Cricetulus griseus: one gene and its partner. The protein of the gene in region 1 interacts with the protein of each later gene in a biochemical or structural test. Links are inferred from orthologs where the notes say so. Each region holds a gene or a part of one and is shown on either strand. Other genes may lie near its edges.

Region 1 (3,657 bases):
AGATTTTACAATAGAGCTGACTAATTCTTTTTCATTTATAAAAGTTTAGATTTTTGATTCTTTTTTTTTAGGATTTATTTATTTATTTATCTATTTATTTATTTATTTATTTATTATGTACACAGTGTTCAGCCTGCATCCCAGAAGAGGGCACCAGATCTCATTATAGATGGTTGTGAGCCCCCATGTGGTTGCTGGGAATTGAACTAAGGATGGAAGAGGTTCTTAACCTCTAAGCTATCTCTCCAGCCCGATTTCTGATTCTTTTAAGATTCCTCATAAAATTACCTTTTGAGATAAGTAATAAAATGATCGATCCTTTCTTTGTTTTTTTGTTTTTTGGTTTTTTTTGGTTTTTCGAGACAGGGTTTCTCTGTGTCTCTTTGGAGCCTATCCTGGCACGCCCTCTGGAGACCAGGCTGGCCTCGAACTCACAGAGATCTGCCTGCCTCTGCCTCCCGAGTGCTGTGATTAAAGGTATGCACCACCAACGCCTGGCTCAATCCTTTCTTTGTAACCACAAAATGCAGCCTGCCAATAAAAGAACTGGCTGAGCAAAAATACCTTGGTTGCTTACACTCTGTTAATCTGTAACAAGTTGCTGAAGTATTGAATGTACTGGCATGCTCTGGCTTGCGTTTGGCTGGTGTTTTTCTAATAAAAGATATCCTTATCCCAGGATCCTTTTATTTCTTAGTATTTGGCGCCCAAGGCCAGGGGCAACAAGGCAGGGAGGCCAGAGAGAAGGGGCTCCCATGTGCCTTGCAGCCCCGTAAAACCCTATCACTCGTCTCCTGACCTCACCTTGACCACGCCCTAACAGGCGTGGTCAGGCACACCTGTAGCCAGCTTCTAGCAGGTGTGGTTTACACTGCCCCCTACACACAAAATTAAATTGTGGATTTACATTTGTGACAGAAGCCTGACATGCTAAGCAATTAACATTTCTTTTTTTCATGTACATTTGTATTTTGTTTACATACAGGTCTGTGTGAGGGTGTCAGATTCCCTGAAACTGGAGTTACAGACAGTTATAAGCTGCCATGTGGGTGCTAGAAATTGAACCCAGGTCCTCTGAAGAGCAGCCAGTGCTCTTAACTGCTGAGCCATGTTCCCAGCCTGCAATTACCTTTTCTTATACCTAAGAAGTTCCCAGCTTTATCTCTCCAGCATTCCTGCTGAAGGGAACCAGGTGACCCTATGTTAAAAATATTGGTTTTCAATTATACAAACTAAGCTGTGGAGTTAATGAAGGTTCTGGATACCCATAGCCTTACATACTTACCTCAGCATCTATCACATCTGTAATGTACCTGGGGGTCAGCAGGGGCATCCGAACATACTGTAAGAGGTCAGGCAAGGATTCTTCTCGCTCCTTCTTGGAATGTTTCACCCAGTTGATAACAGCCTCAAAGACTGGCTCTTCAGAATCCACCTGCAAATGTACACTTGTACATCATGGATTTTTGCTTTCCAAGTTAGAAAGTTTCCCACAAACTGAAAAACAACCATGCTTACTTTCTCCTTTCTGCTCCCTGTTCTCCATTACTGTTATTTCCCATCTTCCAGAAATGTGGAGATTCTGGGAAAACAATCTTTTCAGATACAGGAAGAGAATTATATGCAATTTAAAAAGAACTAAGACAGATAGTATTTAATAAACCATCGGTCACATGTTGGCCTTCCATTGTATCCATTCTTGAATTTTTATATGGTCTTTTCTGGAACTTCAGTTAACTTTGTATTCACAAAGTGAAGCAGGAATTTCACTTTATCATCATAAATAATGCTGCAGCTTTCAAAGCATGGCCAGCATTTCATCAACTATTATATGCTAGATTCTGTGCTGTTTGTGACATATAATTTCAGATATATATATATATATATATAATATATATATATATATGTGTGTGTGTGTGTGTGTGTGTGTGTGTGTGTGTGTGTGTGTGTGTGTGTGAATACTATGGAACTTATATTATATATGCAAGTAGATAAAGTAAGATACACCCTCTAAGTCTATATTATGCCACCAGAAAAGCAATAGGTACAATAAGAGTTAGGATTTTCCAAAGACAGACAGACACCTATATGTAGGCCCAATGTTCTCTCAGTAGTCTCTGGGAGTGTGTAAGCTGAGGTATCTTTCAGTTTGACTGACTAGATGAAAGCAAACAGAAACACCACCTGGACATGGCTCCCCACAGCCTATGGTATTTTGGAAAGCAGACATGTTTTGGCATGTCCTTTCATTTCATGGAATTACAGAACTTCTGCTAAGTGCTAAACACTGACCTTAGTGACACTGATTACATAATGGTAAACAAATCAAGTACAGTCCTTGTAGGCCAGGCTTGACCTTCATCTTATCTGCCCATCTCACCCTTCCTAAGTGCTGGGACTATAGGTGAGGGCTACCAACTATAAAGTTGTATGCTCTTGGCTGTGATTAAAATTATATAGGAAAACAGCAGTTATAAGACAAAAGTAACAGAAAATTTCGTCATTTAGATAGATAGAAGGAATAGTATAAAAGCTTAGATTATTGAATTTACTTTAAACTAAAAAGCAGCTATTAATCTCAAATATTTCACACTGATAAAGATTTTTGTATACTGATACAAATTTAAGGTTATTTTTGTTATAATGTATATGTTTCTGCTCTTGTTTAAGGTGTTTTACTTATGTACCTCATTTAAAAATGTAATGCATAATTAAGAAATACAGTAGTTAGTCATCTATAATAAATTTGTAGTTATGTTTTAAGGTTAAACATAGATATAATTTAGATAGGTGGTCTTCAAACACTTCAGAGACCTATAGAATATAGCATTTAAGATGTCTTAATATCGTGAGGCTTTTCACGACAGTGAGGCACATCTGCTCATGACAGCATCAATTTACTTCAAAAACGGATAATGGGACTCAAAGAACCTCCAAATGGAGTTTGCTTTTGTTGTGGCAAAGCTAGTTACTGGGCAAGAAACTGCCCTTGCATCGAATGCTGATGGTTTGCTGTCTAAACTGGATGAGCAGGACACAAAAGAACTTTGAACTTTTTCAGCACAACTGCTGAACTCTGCCAAGACAAGGTAGGACTGTCCTTCAAAAATCCTGCTTCACAGAAAAGTCTGTCAGATATTCTAGGCCTGTAGACTAAAGATGGATGCCACAACATTGAAGAGGAATTTCAGTGACTGTCCAGGCAGCCAGCTGCTTCTGTCATGTCTATAATTTTGGAAGTTGTTTGCCCTGCAATTCCTGTTTACTCAGGTAACATTATATCCTTCTTCCGTCTCTGACGGAGCTGAAGATGAAATGGTTATAGTTACAGTTTTCCTTGTTACCAAATTCAGAAAAGAAACTCACAAAAGAGGTAAAAAGGGTGTAAGATTGAGAGACATAAAAGCTTAAATTATTTACCTAGAAAATGTTTGGAGGTCTAAAAAGATAGTTTGGGGTTGATAATACAAGTTAGGATAGAAAGTGAATTAGGGACAGGCGGTGGTGGCGCACACCTTTAATCCCGGCACTTGGGAGGCAGAGGTAGGCCGGATCTCTGAGAGTTCGAGACCAGCCTGGTCTACAAGAGCCAGTTCCAGGACAGCCTCCAAAGCCACAGAGAAACCAAAACCCTGTCTCGAAAAACCAAAAATAAAT
Region 2 (3,437 bases), on another chromosome or scaffold:
ATATTCAAGTGAAAAATTCATATTCATAAAAATAAACACCTTTTATAAAAGGATTATATTCCATAGTTTCAGTTCTCCATTTCTTTTATCTATCACTTAAAGACATGTATATGACATTAATACAGAAAACTGTTTCTGTTCAGAGCAACTGAACTGAATGATCATGGTTTTTAAATTTCATTATCTGCCATAGACAGAATCTATGGGCCTTCCATATTTCACAAGGGTTTCAATAATAATAATTAATATAATAATAAATCCTACCATGTAACCTAGTATCTACTAATTATCCAGCAAGAAAGCTAGGCACATCATATAAATTATTTTTAATCATTCAAGTACCTATGGAAAACAGATATTATTCTCCCCATTTTATAGGTATGCAGAGAGGTTAGGTGAAATGCCCAAGATTACAAAGCTGACATTCAAGTCTAGTTCCACATGCTTGAATTTATGGGCACTAAACTAAAATGCCTTAAACTATTAACAAACTGGGTTCTTCAATATATGTCACATGAGATATTAAACCATAAACATAAACTTTCAAATTATAAAAAGAATATTTAATTTAAATGAATATTTACAACCAAAAGATTAGCCAGATACATTATGCTAACATGTCTCCCTTATAGCATAATAACTTCATTTCTAGTTGTTTCAATATTGGAAAAGACACATAAAAGAAAGCTAGAACAAATTATGATATTATATTTAAGAATAACTAGTCTATACCAAAAATCTTCCCACCTGATCCTTGGGATACATACTCAATCCAGTGAGTTTTATTAGCAGTTAACTGCCTACTCCAAAAACGTATTTGTCTCTCAAAGTTAAAAACTACAAGTGGCATAATGTGTTTCAAAATCCAAAAATGCTAACTTCTGATTAAAAACATTAAATTTCTTATTTCTCTGAATTTGAAAGTCTAATAAAAAACAAAAACATCATAATTTACTATGTATTTATCATACAGAGGACTCTCCTAACAAGATTTTTTTTCAGATAGCTAGTCATCCATCAAAACACTATGTGAAGAAAGTCTAGATATTTAACAAAGAAAAAACACTGCCAGGTCATCTTTATTTTCCTTAACAAAACAAGCACACAAAAAATTCATTTATATATCATCATTATTTTACAAATATAAATAATACCAAGAATTCAAGTACAGTCAAATGCAGATGCAGTTCCTATTTGTTAATATGTAAACATAAACTAACTATATACATCACGTGGCTTTGGCCCAGCTGCAAAACAAAAGACATCAAAAGAAACTCTGCACTTGACTGTTCAGTTGCATTCTTCTTGAGAATTCGTACCAATGCCTATGTAAATAAGGTTACAGCTTTCAGTATCACTTAATGTAAACACCTAAATAGATATTTCCTTCCCACTGGCAAATATCTCAGGAGTTAAAATTTAATGATGAAGTATTCAAAATCTTAATTATATTTCAATCCTTAAGCACTATTAAAGAAATTATTCCTAGCCAAAATTGTTCCTATGTCAAAATGGATATTATTTACAAGTTATAGATGTAGAAAACAAAAATGTTTCTTTTCTTTAAACTTTAGAATGCACAAAGTCTCTAACAGCTATGTGGGTCTCTGCACATTCACTGATACCACGTGCTTTTACTTTCAATGCCCAGTTGATGGGACTTGAACACACTGAACTTGCTAGGCAATTTGAATTTGAATAGCATTAAGCATATATCTAAAAAGTAATTTTTTTGAGTACCACACACAAAAAAAAAAGCAATAACTGACATCAACAAGACTACAAATAATCCAGTTGAAGGCACATGGGATTATTTACTATTGTGTCACCAAAGATTCTCCACTTGGTTCAAGATTAGAAACAGAGTCAGCTCTGAGAACTGTTGACTTGGCTTCGTCTGTTGATGCTTCCTCTTTCTCAGTCTCTTCTTGTTTCTCCTCTGGTTCCTCTGAACCAGATGTTTCTTCAATCACTTGGCTTGTCTGCTCTGTCACTGGTATTTTGTCATCTCTCTGCTCTGTACTATTATCAAGAACATCTTGTCCTTCTAAAGATTCTGTAAAGAGAAAGACATCAGACTTCAGGAATATCCATATGTCAAGACTGCTAAATAAGGCAAAATCAAAGATAAACAGACACACGTACTAAGAAACAGTAGAATTGTCTATTACCTTTTAAATCTTCTACAATAAGTTCTTAACTCTCTAGCATATCACTTAGGTATTAGTATAACTGACTAATTGGAGGAAATAAACCCATACTTTTATAATTTCATATACATTAAGCTTCTAAAGATACATCTGCAAGCTCAATGTTCAAAATTGAGCCCTGGCTCCAACAGGATGAGAATTTATAGTGCATTGAATTTTTTTTTTTTTTTTTGACAACTTGACACAAACAAGTCATCTGGAAAGAGGGAACTGAACTGAAGAACCACCTCCATCAGACTGGCCTGTGGGATTGGGGCATTTCTTGATTAATGATTGATATGTGAGGGACCCACCAGCCCACTGTGGACAGTACTACCCTTGGGCAGGTGACCTTGAGTTAAATTTTTAAAAAGCAAGTTGAGCAAGTCATGGGGAACAAGCCAGTAAGCAACACCCCTCTGCAGTACACACTTCAGTTCCTGCCTGGAGACTCTTGAGTTCCTGACCCAACATACCTCAGTGATGGACTGTGACCAGGGAGTTGGGAGTTATAAGGTGAATAAACCATTTCTTCCATGAAATTGTTTTAAGTGTTTTATCACAGCAATAGAAGACAATAAGACTCAAGAAAACAAAACAAAACAAAATGTATACTCTCCCCTGTTACTGAACAGAAAATTGTTTCCTTACACCTAAGCAAAACTGTAAGCAATGTATAAATGTATGCTTTTGTGTATATGCATATATGTACATGTATGTATATGTAGACAGGATTCTCCAGACCTTATATACATCTTTATTATTCAAGGATGAGAGAAGTCAAAATCCACCTTTCCAACTGTATGTCTTGTCTTTCTTTATCCCTATCCAAGCCCTCACTATTTAAATTTAGGAATTAGAATATGCTACATACTTTAGTGTGCTAGAACAAAGAAGAGGTCTTTTGCCTTCTGTCTATACACGAAAGTTTGTCCCTACATGAAAATTTACTCCCTTTGAATTCTAATTATTTTTTAGTTTTAATTTAAATCTCTTAATAACAAAAAGTTTATTAACTTTCTTAAACTCTTTAAATATTAAAGAATAAGGTGGGGAAGGGAGTGACAGAAGCAGCGAAAGCTTTGAGTCATCTAATCTTCAAGTCAAAGGCGAAAATCTAGCTTTAAGCATTTCCCTTTATTTCATAATAAACTTAATATTCTTGCTAGCAGAAAAGTAATTAAACCATATGAGATAAGCAAAAGACAAAATTTCCTATACTCATAAATGTTCTTTATGACAAACTAC

The links. The genes of interacting proteins can lie anywhere in the genome.
Region 2: the proteins of Klhl12 (region 1) and Lnpk form a complex in vitro, tested with the Homo sapiens proteins (2 studies listed by BioGRID, with this or other methods). The link is inferred for Cricetulus griseus from reciprocal best matches to the Homo sapiens genes KLHL12 and LNPK.

The regions. Positions count from the first base shown.
Region 1 is NC_048598.1:54,767,172-54,770,828, forward strand, and holds part of Klhl12 (kelch-like protein 12), read right to left. Parts: intron 1,436-3,657; coding exon 1,286-1,435; intron 1-1,285. UniProt on the Homo sapiens protein: Substrate-specific adapter of a BCR (BTB-CUL3-RBX1) E3 ubiquitin ligase complex that acts as a negative regulator of Wnt signaling pathway and ER-Golgi transport.
Region 2 is NC_048599.1:100,589,142-100,592,578, reverse strand, and holds the end of Lnpk (endoplasmic reticulum junction formation protein lunapark), read right to left. Parts: intron 2,057-3,437; coding exon 1,818-2,056; 3' UTR 542-1,817; downstream 1-541. UniProt on the Homo sapiens protein: Endoplasmic reticulum (ER)-shaping membrane protein that plays a role in determining ER morphology. Involved in the stabilization of nascent three-way ER tubular junctions within the ER network.